Schizosaccharomyces pombe: one gene and its partner. Changing the gene in region 2 together with the main gene of any one other region gives a genetic interaction. Each region holds a gene or a part of one and is shown on either strand. Other genes may lie near its edges. The genes, in order: pdc2 and dhp1.

Evidence for each region.
Region 1: mutations in dhp1 (region 2) and pdc2 are lethal when combined (synthetic lethality), as found in Schizosaccharomyces pombe (one study listed by BioGRID).

What each region holds. Positions count from the first base shown.
Region 1 is NC_003423.3:2,368,279-2,373,736, forward strand, and holds pdc2 (topoisomerase II-associated deadenylation-dependent mRNA-decapping factor), read right to left. Parts: upstream 3,336-5,458; 5' UTR 3,306-3,335; coding exon 3,229-3,305; exon of another isoform or gene 3,174-3,228; coding exon 3,073-3,173; exon of another isoform or gene 2,966-3,072; coding exon 1,177-2,965; intron 1,139-1,176; coding exon 968-1,138; intron 916-967; exon of another isoform or gene 913-915; coding exon 786-912; 3' UTR 557-785; downstream 1-556. Other genes in the region: SUMO deconjugating enzyme Ulp1, read left to right, coding at 1-545; SPOM_SPBC19G7.18C (uncharacterized protein), read right to left, coding at 3,794-4,333, 4,380-4,450, 4,499-4,646. UniProt on the Schizosaccharomyces pombe protein: Activator of decapping that functions as a general and active mechanism of translational repression and required for P-body formation. Stabilizes the 3' terminus of mRNAs and modulates the rates of mRNA-decapping that occur following deadenylation.
Region 2 is NC_003424.3:3,355,452-3,362,687, reverse strand, and holds dhp1 (5'-3' exoribonuclease Dhp1), read left to right. Parts: upstream 1-1,684; 5' UTR 1,685-1,795; coding exon 1,796-4,771; 3' UTR 4,772-4,938; coding exon of another isoform or gene 4,939-5,559; 3' UTR 5,560-5,608; coding exon of another isoform or gene 5,609-5,956; 3' UTR 5,957-6,544; downstream 6,545-7,236. Other genes in the region: Tf2-4 (retrotransposable element/transposon Tf2-type), read left to right, coding at 1-1,141; SPOM_SPAC26A3.11 (mitochondrial omega-amidase), read right to left, coding at 4,939-5,559, 5,609-5,956; cnt6 (centaurin ADOP ribosylation factor GTPase-activating protein), read right to left, coding at 7,073-7,236. UniProt on the Schizosaccharomyces pombe protein: Possesses 5'->3' exoribonuclease activity. Required for the processing of nuclear mRNA and rRNA precursors. May promote the termination of transcription by RNA polymerase II. Essential for vegetative cell growth and chromosome segregation.

The DNA of each region.
Region 1 (5,458 bases), on a different chromosome or scaffold from region 2:
GGAATAGACAATGGTTAAATGACGAGGTAATTAATTTTTACATGAATTTGATTTCGGAACGCTCTAAAATTGATTCATCCTTACCTCGGGTACATGGGTTTAATACTTTTTTTTATACATCTTTGCAGCGCCGTGGATACGCGGGTGTTCGAAGATGGGCCAAAAAGGCACGCGTTAATATTGCAGATATGGATGCTGTATTTATACCAGTACATCTGGATGTCCACTGGTGTATGGCTGTTATTAACAAATCGAAGAAACGATTTGAATACTGGGACTCGCTGGCCGGAAGCCCTGGTAAAGTTTTTGATTTGTTGCGCGACTATTATATTGCAGAAACAAAAGGTGCCGTCGACGTGTCAGATTGGGAAAATTTTATGGATGACAATTCTCCAAGACAACGAAATGGACATGATTGTGGAGTTTTTGCTTGTAAAACTGCTGAATGTGTATCTAGAAATGTTCCTGTTCAGTTTAGTCAAAATGATATGCCTGAACTACGAATCAAAATGGCAGCTAGTATTATTGATGCACAAATCTATTAAATATGTGCTATAAACTTTTTGTCTATATACTTATCGTTTTTTATATTAATTTCTTTCTCGTTCAATACATTTTATTTCATATTCAGCGTTTTCAAAAAGGACATAATTTACTTAAATCTATATTAGAGCGTATGCATTTTTTAAGTAGCAGGGAATACTCTAATTAATAAATCTGAATCCAGGAATCTCAGCAAATATAGCTTTTGAAAAAAAAAATACCCGCATATCTTATAAACAAACTTAAGCGCTGAGCTGACGAGCGTCGAGCCCCATTGCATTTAAAAACAAATTAACATTGCTGATGCGCACAACAGCAATTTCAGAAGGTGCCCGTTTGCTAGTAATGATGTTATCAAGTACTCTGTCCCTATTTTTTACATATTTGTTAGTACAAAAACTCGACTAGACATATTTTAACGTACCTAGTTTCAGAAACCAATGTAAAATGTTGTTCAGAGCTAGCAGCAGTAGCACAAGCTGCTAAGAATTCCCATGGATAAGATTCATCAGCATAAGCTCGAGCGTTAGGTGGTGGGAATACCGTCGAGAAATGACCTTTTACGCGATTAAACATAACATTGAATGTATTTTCCCTAAATAGTTAGATGCTGTAAATACATGTATAACGTACCATTCTTCTTTTTCATTTTGATTTACAGTGCCAGATTGCTTTAAAATTTCTGCGCGACTAATGAATAGAGTAAGGAACGACAAACCAATCTTCGTCTGTATTAAATAAACAGCATTAGTGCGATTGAGAAGTTGAGAAAATAAGTTATTTATAGTTTCCAAATCAAGTTCATTAACAATAGTGAGCAATGGAGGGATGATGAACTGCGTGAAAGAACTCATTTCGGAAACAACGTCCAAAGGCAGCTCACCGTTAACGTCAAATGTTCCCCTAAGGACTATATCAAGAGAATCAAAATTGTAAACTACGACCTTTAAAATCGAAATTTGTTGCTCTTTGGACAAATGTGGGAACAAGCGAGGTAGCAGCCTCATTCCTTTGGGGTGAGAAATTATAGAAATGAATGGAGGCCTAGTCTTAGAAGATGCTTCCAATGATTCATTTATGTATAATGCCTTCCAAATGGACTCCAATTTCTCGCTTAAAGTAGTTTTCCATGTATCTATTTGCTCCTGATCGGTAGTTTCTAGCGTTGAGGCTTTACGGAGGGCTTGCTCAAAGTCAAGCAACAAGTCATAAACTTTCTCAATAGCGTGCAATACATCCTTCTTCGTAGAAAATCCAGAAAAATTGTTTAATGATGAATTTGAAGATGCTGGTTCGGTAGGACGTTTAACATTCAACAATTGTCGTGGTGTGCGAACAGTATTAACAGCAATTTTACCAAGAGCACCTTCTAAAGACAACTGAGTTGCCTTAGGGCGCTCTTTGGCAGAAGAAACCAAACGCTGAAGTTGCTGTTGTAATTTCTGCATAGGATTTTCGGAGCGACGACCACGACGGCGATTATTGCTAGGTCCTAGATAAGTCTGTATAAAATGACTGGCTTCTTCCTCGGAAGGCTTGCGGCCTCGAATAATTGAGTAAACGCGATAATAAAAATCATCAGATTCGGGATCCTCCGACATCAATTGCGATATTTGAATTCTCGCAATAAACGATTTATCACTGCGTGTCATTAACCCAGCACATTGAGCCATGAGCATATGATCACGCTCTAACTTTTGACGTTTTTCATCAAGGTTCTGGTTTTGAATTAATTGTTCCTGCTGGAAAAGATTAACAAGGGAAGCAGGAGGAGCAACACTTGGGTTGTACATGCCGTTTTGAGGATATGGCATTTGAGGTACAAGGGAAGGTTGCATAACAGGATTGGGTATAGCTTGCGAAGGATGTACCATATTAGGAGCAGCTAATCCAGCAAAATCAGTTGTAGTGCTAGGGATGTTTGGTTGACCAAAAGTAACATTACCAATACTAGCCGCACTAATCGCCGGGTCCAATGAAGAGATGTTTTCTCGAGTTACTTGAGCAGCCATTTCGGATGGAACAATGGGAATAGCGGGTTGAGAAGGTGGTTTTGGAGCGGTCATTGAGTTCAATAACTGTTCCTCCAACTCCTGCAAGCTAAAAACCTTCTCAGATGGTTGGGCACCCAAACGATCTTGAAGAGAGGCTACCTCAGGTGGAATAATAGCCGGCTTTTCTGGAACAATATTTTCCCAAATCGAAGCCATAGGCTGCAAATCGGAAAGCTTATTGATCGCAGTAGACGCAGGTTCCCGTGAAGGAAATTGTGAAGCACCATTAAGTCTACTAACTTGAGGTAACTCTGAAGAAGCTGGTTTGACAGGTTTAGCGAAAATATTTTGTTGATTAATTTGGTACTGCTCATCTTCCAATTGTGCAGATGCTTGAGCGGTAGTACCTGAAAAATCAAAATCACGTCCTAGAATTGTGAGAAAAAATATTAAAATATTAAATACTAATAGCTTGCAATATCCCAGATATGACAGCCGAGAATGATTACAGAATCACAAGCACAAAGGTACATACCTATACTTCCAGCGCTAACACCAAAAGTCTCGTCGTTTAGTTCATCTCCGGCTTCATTTAATTGATTACCCAAATCGTCGTAGGTCTCCTCAAAGTCAATGCTAAATATACTTGTGAGCTTAAAGTATCATATTTACATTAATATTAACGACTTACCCATCCTCTTCTAACTGCCCTTCGTTAGGAAACATATTTTCCTTTGGAAGGGTAGTATTAAACCCAAAAAATGACATTTTATGGGTTTATGGTAATGAGAAGTTGGTGGTAGCTAGGTGGGCGGCACTGCATACAACAATACTCATGACAGTAGATTGGGTTGGTTCGACGCAGACTGATTCATGGCGTTTTATATATATTTTTACTTTGCGTTCTTTTTTTATATCTGAATTTTAAAGTTGTTATTTGGTTTGCTATACCAGTAAATCTATCCCTATTTTATTTCACATCAATCTTCAAGACTAGCTATTAAAACCTATCACGTATAGATGTATATCATAAATATGAATTTAAATTTATCTCTTTTTGAAAGACTGAAATGTATCGAAATTTATGCATGAACATACATAAGTTGCTTGCTCAAGCAAGCTACATCAATCTGGCAATGCAGTATAGAAAAAAAGAAATATCTACTAAATTTAACTACTTTACATCATAAATTCAGTGACACTCAAATTGGTAAAAATTAATTTTAAATTATCGTAACATGTAGAGATAAAGGAAATTATTTGGAAGACGATGAATCATTCCAGATCAATTGATCAAATGCCTCCTGTTCGTGAGAAATAGGTTCATCCAACTGTTCAGAGCCTAGATTAGAAGTTCGGGAAGGAAATGCTTCAGAATTTTCTTGTCCACTAAAAGCACTATCTGTGGATTTAACACTCGAGTCTTCTTCGTAAAATGGAAAAGAATTGTTACCGGTATTTCGATTACGGTTACGAATAGCTTCCCATGCTGACGCTGGCTTTGATCGATCTTCAAAGCCATTGTCTTTAGAGTACATGGCGTCCTCTTTCTCCGTACTCTGTGAATTCGTAAAGGGATCTTGACTAGAAGAGGCACCAGTATTCGGCATACTTCCAGGTAATTGATATTTTGAGTTTTTTGGAGGGAATTCAGAAGATGAAGAAGGAAATCTGCCTTGTCGCATCGTTGTTCTTTGTCGAATAAGGGAGTCTTGTATTTTGCGAAGTATTTCAAAGCCATCATCTCTTTGACGTATAGCCGACAAATTGTATGCCAGAGTAGTAATCTGAGCAACCTATTCATAATTTGTAAGCTTGAGCTTAGTATTACTTAAAACTTACCCCATTTCCAGCAAGACCTCCTATAATTGATGTTGCATACAAGCGGATTGGAGTAACCTTTTTGTTACGAGCTAAAAAATAAGAAAGTTATTTTCAATTGCTTGTTCGAAATCTCATACCTAAGTATAATGGGAGAGAAAACCCGACTAGCATCCCAAAAATCGTATTTCTTTTGACACGGTATTTTGCATGATTTAGAAATTCCTTTTGGTCATCACTGAAATGGTTTTGAGGATCATTTAACATTCGTTCCCAAAAAAAATCCATGATAATAAACGTTGGAAGCGATTCCTGAGGCTACACAATAATGTCAAGAATATGAAACGTGCTTATACGGGTTATGTTAGCGAAATAAATGTAATTAAATTATTTGCGGACTGTACAATTTAACCCAATATATAAAAATTTGAGGCCTTTCTAATGTAAAAATACTACTACTAAAAGGTAATAGTACTCATCACTTGTTGCCTTATGGATAGTTTGGATACTGATGTAAGAGGATGTGAATAAGGAGAATCTCTAGGGATTAGGACCATCTAAATTTCCCAGCTACTACAGTGATACTTGGCATGAATAAGAAATACGTATCTGAATAAAAATTTGACACACAAGATTGTTCTGTTGAAATTTCTTATGAAACTGATAGACTGAATTTTTTTTGGCTGGTAAGCACTTGTGATGAAATATGCAACTTTTTCGAACTACGTTTTACATTCCATCTTTCAATGAAACAGACCTTGGTGGCATCAATTCGTGGTATACGATTGTTTTGAATTTTAATATTGCAAGCATATATGTTCAACAGGAATTTCCCAGTTGTTAAATAAGTCTATATCGTATAATTCTTTGTCATTAACCGTATTTATTCATTTTGAACTAATTTAGCACAGAATTCTATCTCGTAAATTAAACAAGCGCCACTGCATTTTACACAGCTAACGAAAAATACAAGAAGGCAATTGAGAAATAGAGAAATAGATGCAATACAGACTTGGTCTTTTTTTTTAAAAAGTTTTGCCAATTTAGACGGATTTTGTATCTAATATGTAGGAACTACTAGTAGTAGTTACAGCTTATTC
Region 2 (7,236 bases):
ACAGAACTGCCATACATGTCAAATAAACAAATCTAGGAATCATAAACCTTATGGACCTTTACAACCAATTCCCCCATCAGAAAGACCTTGGGAATCTTTATCAATGGATTTTATTACAGCTTTACCAGAATCATCTGGTTATAATGCACTTTTCGTGGTAGTTGACCGATTTTCAAAAATGGCAATCTTAGTACCTTGTACGAAATCCATTACAGCAGAGCAAACAGCTCGAATGTTTGATCAACGAGTTATTGCTTATTTCGGCAATCCAAAAGAAATCATTGCAGATAATGATCATATTTTTACTTCCCAAACGTGGAAAGATTTCGCACATAAATATAATTTCGTTATGAAATTTTCGTTACCATACAGACCACAAACTGATGGACAAACTGAGCGTACAAACCAAACTGTGGAGAAATTACTAAGATGTGTATGTAGCACACATCCAAATACATGGGTAGATCATATATCCCTAGTGCAACAATCTTACAACAATGCGATACATTCAGCAACTCAAATGACACCTTTTGAGATAGTACATCGCTATTCACCAGCTTTATCACCTTTAGAGTTACCTAGCTTTAGTGACAAAACTGACGAAAACTCTCAGGAAACGATCCAAGTATTTCAAACAGTTAAAGAACACTTGAATACAAACAACATAAAGATGAAAAAGTATTTCGATATGAAAATACAAGAAATTGAAGAATTTCAACCTGGAGACCTAGTTATGGTCAAAAGAACGAAAACAGGTTTTCTTCATAAATCCAATAAATTAGCACCTAGTTTTGCAGGACCGTTCTATGTGTTACAGAAGTCGGGTCCAAACAACTATGAATTGGATCTTCCAGATTCAATCAAGCACATGTTTTCATCTACTTTTCATGTTTCTCACCTAGAAAAGTATCGACATAATTCAGAACTCAATTACGCTACCATTGATGAGTCTGATATTGGAACAATTCTTCATATCCTAGAACATAAAAACAGAGAACAAGTACTCTACTTAAATGTCAAGTACATTTCGAATCTAAATCCGAGTACTATTATGTCAGGATGGACTACATTAGCTACAGCGCTACAAGCGGACAAAGCAATTGTCAATGATTATATTAAAAACAATAATCTAAATATCTGAGAACATATGACTTATCCTCAGATTTACATAGAAAATCTTGGGGAGGGCAATGTCAGCAATACTACACTACGCTATAATACACTACGTTGAGTATCACTATATGTCACATGTTCTAATTATATATCGTACCATGTATGATACGATATGGAGATTGATCTTAATGATAATCTATTAAGATCAATATTATCTGAATACTATAAATAGAGCTACTGCTGAACCTCGTTCCTCAGTTCAGTTATGAGCTATATTAGTGATAGGTAACATTATAACCCAGTTAATACAATACCTATACTCAGTTGCTACTTATACAACCTGTGTATTGTAATATAATAGATCACAAGGAAAACTCACCGCAGTTCTACGTATCCTTAAATCAGATACCAAACTGCGTAGCTTACACTTAAGAGACTAGATTTTAACTATTGTATAGCGAGTACGTTAGTAATTTCCAATTTACTCCAATGTGCGTTAAAAAATTTAGGTAGGACTGCGGAGACTACGCTAGATCTAGATTAAAATACCTAAATATTAAATCTTCAACTTATACTACACTCGTAGTCTTTAGTATCTAAAATTTACCAATTTGGGCTTTTTTGAAGCATTTGGTTTGGAGAAGATTTATTCGATTGAGTATTTTCTCCTTTACACCAAAAAATGGGTGTTCCAGCACTTTTCCGCCTTTTGTCGAGGAAATTCGCAAAGGTCATTACACCTGTTATTGAGGCTCCTACTGAAAAGCTTCCAGATGGTACTGAAATTGAACCAGATTTAAGTCTTCCCAATCCAAACGGAGTGGAATGCGACAACTTGTATTTGGATATGAATGGTATTGTTCATCCTTGTTCCCATCCTGAAGATCGCCCCGCTCCAGAGACTGAAGACGAGATGATGGTTGCTGTCTTTGAATACACGGATCGTATTCTTGCCATGGTTCGTCCTCGTCAGTTATTGTTCATTGCAATCGATGGCGTGGCTCCTAGAGCCAAAATGAATCAGCAGAGATCACGTCGTTTTCGTTCTTCTCGTGAAGCAGCTCTCAAAGAAGAAGAATTACAAGCCTTCATTGAGGAGGCAAAACAACAGGGAATTCCCATCGACGAAAACGCTACGAAGAAAAAATCTTGGGACAGTAATTGCATTACCCCCGGCACACCTTTCATGGACACTTTGGCCAAGTCTCTTCGTTACTACATAATAAATAAACTAAATAGTGATCCGTGCTGGAGAAATGTCAGATTTATACTTTCTGACGCCTCGGTTCCTGGTGAAGGTGAGCATAAGATCATGGAATTTATTCGATCTCAACGAGTGAAACCAGAGTATGATCCAAATACACACCACGTTGTTTACGGTTTAGATGCAGACCTAATTATGCTTGGTTTGGCTACTCATGAACCCCATTTTCGTGTATTGCGTGAAGATGTCTTCTTTCAACAAGGAAGTACTAAAAAGACAAAGGAAGAGCGTCTTGGCATCAAGAGACTTGATGATGTTTCTGAGACCAATAAGGTTCCTGTAAAAAAACCATTTATATGGCTCAACGTTAGCATTTTGAGGGAGTATCTAGAAGTGGAACTTTATGTCCCCAATTTACCTTTTCCATTTGACTTAGAACGTGCGATTGACGACTGGGTCTTCTTTATCTTTTTTGTGGGTAATGATTTTCTTCCTCATTTGCCTAGTTTAGATATTCGTGATGGTGCCGTAGAGCGGTTGACTGAAATATGGCGAGCTAGTCTTCCGCACATGGGTGGTTATCTTACTTTGGATGGTTCTGTTAATTTAGCTCGTGCTGAAGTCATTCTGAGTGCTGTAGGTAACCAGGAAGATGATATTTTTAAGCGTCTTAAACAGCAAGAAGATCGTCGTAACGAAAACTATAGACGCCGTCAACAACGCGAGTCAAATCAGGAATCAGAATCTTATGTTGACAACGTCGTAATTCAGCGTTCAGTTGAGACGCAATCGACAGAAGTTGTTACCTCTTCTAAATCAACTTCTGTTGATACTAAACCGCCAAAGAAAACTCAAAAAATTGACGCTCCGGCTCCAGTGGATTTGGTTAATTTGTCTGAAAAAACTTCAAATCGATCTCTAGGCGCTACTAATAGAGAATTAATTAATAATCGCGCTGCTAACCGTCTTGGACTTTCTAGGGAAGCAGCTGCTGTTTCTTCAGTTAACAAATTGGCGGCCTCTGCATTGAAAGCTCAGTTGGTTTCAAATGAGACACTACAAAATGTTCCTTTGGAAGACAGCATAGCTTCATCCAGTGCATATGAAGATACCGATAGTATTGAATCTAGTACCCCTGTTGTACATCCAATAGACACAAAAGTTTCAAATGTGGGTCAGAAGAGAAAGGCCCCAGATTCGACTGAAGAAAATGAAAATACTGATACAGTCCGCCTGTATGAGCCTGGATACCGCGAACGGTATTATGAACAAAAATTCCACATTTCACCCGATGAACCAGAAAAAATTCGTGAAGCTGTTAAACATTATGTTCATGGATTGTGCTGGGTTCTTTTGTATTATTATCAAGGCTGTCCATCTTGGACCTGGTATTATCCATATCATTATGCTCCTTTTGCCGCTGATTTCAAAGATTTGGCCTCCATAGATGTAAAATTTGAACTAAATCAACCCTTCAAGCCTTACGAACAATTACTAGGCGTTTTACCTGCTGCTAGTAAAAATAATTTACCTGAAAAATTGCAAACTCTTATGACTGATGAAAACTCTGAAATTATTGACTTTTACCCGGAAAATTTTACTATTGATTTAAACGGGAAAAAATTTGAATGGCAGGGAGTTGCTCTTTTACCATTTATAGATGAAAATCGGCTTTTGAATGCTGTATCAAAAATCTATCCTCAACTTACCGAGGAAGAGTCAAAAAGAAATGAGGATGGTTCTACTTTATTATTTATTTCTGAACATCATCCAATGTTTAGCGAACTTGTCAAACAACTTTACTCCAAGAAACGTCAAGGTAAACCACTTAAGTTATCCGGAAAGATGGCACATGGATTGTTTGGCAAAGTTAACACCAATGATTCCGTAATTCCCAATGTATCCGTTCAATGCCCAATTGATGTTACATCCGCTGACGCCCTTCAGAAGTATGGAAGCATAGATGATAATCAATCTATAAGTCTTGTGTTTGAAGTACCTAAATCGCATTTCGTACATAAATCCATGCTTTTAAGGGGAGTGAAAATGCCGAACAGGGTGTTAACCCCAGAAGATATCAACCAAGTACGTGCAGAGAGGAGCTTTTCTTCCCGCCGAAACAATGGTAATTCGTATCGTGGAGGACACCAAAGTTATGGTGTCCGACGCTCTTACCAATCGCAAAGTTACAGTAGTCGACAGAGCTACACTGGAGTTACTAATGGTTTTGCAAACGGTGGAGTTCAACCTCCTTGGTCTGGTAATGGCAATTTTCCTCGTTCTAATGCAAGCTATAACTCTCGCGGCGGCCACGAAGGATACGGCGGGCGCTCGAGAGGTGGTGGTTATTCGAATGGACCGCCAGCTGGTAACCACTATAGTAGTAATCGCGGAAAGGGTTACGGCTATCAGCGAGAATCCTATAACAATAATAACAGGAATGGCTACTATTAATACATTTAAGTTTTCTTAGTACAATTTTGAAAGCGGGTTTGGGATATTGGAGATAAATAATATATCTGATTATTTGAATTTCATTGGCACATTGCATAATTAGTTATGCAATTCAGTTACAAAATGCATGTTGATAACATAAAATTATACTCAACAACTATACCGATCTATTCCTCTTTCTTAAGAGCAGGTAATACTTCTGAATAAACATCAAAGCGGCGTTGAGTATAGATAGGAACGCTGTTTCGAGCGGTAGACATGACAGAGGGATCAATATCTGCGTAAACGATAGACGGTTTTTCATCAGTAGTAGCAATAACTTTTCCGAAAGGGTCTACAACAGTAGAATGTCCCCATGAATGATAGTCAGCGTTCATATCTCTAGCAGGGGCACAGCAAGCAACGAACATCTCATTATCAACTGCTCGGGCTCGTGCAAGTAGTTCCCAATGTAAAGGGCCTGTGGACAAATTAAATGCTCCAGGGTAAATCATCACACTACAGCCATTTCTAGCTGCTATCATAGCGAGTTCCGGAAATCGTATATCGTAACAAATACCCAAACCAAACTTCCCGTATTCAGTGTCAACCATAGTCATGGCGTCGCCAGGTGAAAGACTATCAGATTCGCGGAAGCTAACTCCACCAGGAATGTCAATATCGAATAAATGAATTTTCCGATGAACGGCTATCAATTTTCCAGAAGGATCAAACACCATTGCAGTGTTGTATAATTTGCCATCCTTGCGTTCAGGAATAGAACCGCCAAATAAGTAAGTCTTAGTATCCTACAGTACCGTTAGTCTCACATAATCAACGAAAATTAAATTAACAAACCTTTGCCATAGAGGATAAAGCTTGGTAAGAAGGAGATGATTCCTCTATAGGTTCAGCATACTGATTAAAGTAACCAGTACCATATGGTGAATTGAAAATTTCTGGTAATACAATGACATTAGAACCGTTTTTAGCGGCTTCCAATACTTTTAAACGAGCGAGTTGTAAATTTTCGCTCTTGTCTTTGGTATTGGCAAGCTGAACCAAGCCAATACGAAAAGCACGAAAATCTTTAGGAACCAGAGATGAAGCTGAGACAGACATGATGTTCCTTGTATAGCAAAAATTTAATGAAGGAAAAAAGGATCTTGTGCCTTTTTGAACGAGTCCAAAAAATTTACTGTTCATATAAACAATCACCGACTTGAAATTTTAGGTGAAGGAAGAGGAATGAGTAGAAAGCAAAGATACGAGGGAAGATGTCCTGATTTGTAGGCTAGTCTCAGAATATCTAGCTTGCGATAATTTTGAGCTCCAAAATATTATATTCCTGAAATCTCAATGTAACTTATTAAGCACGTGGCTAGCGAAATCCTCCAATCCAAATTACACCTTGTTATCAAAAAGAAATTTAGCAAGGTGATCAAACTTCCATGTCTTTGATAAGAAGAATGTCGACATCAAACTAGTTTTCAATCTATTGTAAATCTAAAGAAGAAAAAGGGATTTACATTCAAGCAGCAACTACACAAATAGAAATCGTTGTTTGAATGTTACGGAAGGCAAGACCAAAAAAATTGTTTTTGTTTATCTACAAGTTACAAAAGAATGATATTTATTACTGTGTCAACTAGTTTATAGGTAATGATAATATCGTCTGTCATTTTTAGAAAAAGGGGATTCAATTACTATAGATATTCAGTTGTTCCGAATGTGTTGAAAAATAAAATCTTAAGCGTCTTCGTTTCGCAAAAGAAGAAAATAAATGTTATAATAGCTCGAATGAACTGTTTGGCATACATGTTAATTTCACGTATATTGAATATTGATCTTGTTCAATAACAAATGAACTTATGGCATGCATAAGATCCATCAATCGAGAAGAGCCTAAAAATCGCATTTGAATGCGTATTTAAAGAAAGAATAGCTGTATCCTTAGTCAAAAAATTTTGTATTGAAAGAAAAAAGATTAAGAGTATAATGAAAATAAAGAGGAAAAGAAAGTTCGAAAACCAAAAGATGACCAAGAAAATAATGAGTAAATTACGTTGTTTAGCAAACAACCAAAATAAATTGCAATAATAAATTATAGAATTAACACATGATCCGAATAAGAGTAAAGCTGTGGAGATTAATAAGCTCTCCATTCAAATTCGTTGCGCTTCAAATCATGGAATTCACGGAAATCCGAAATGAAATGACACCTGAATAGATATTGAAATAGATGGTAAAAAGAAAGAATGAATTCGATTGGAAAAATGAACATAAAAGATGATTTGATGCAAAAAGTAAAAATGCTTCTCCCTACTCTTTCAAATACTTTGTAAATTGTTTTTGCGAAAGATATGATTGCATATCTGGACTTACATGCTCCGACAACTGTTCGGAGTCAGGAAGCAATAACCCATTCATGAATAAAAGTTCCAAGAGATGTAACTTACTAGTATCACGAGTAACCGCTTTTAAAA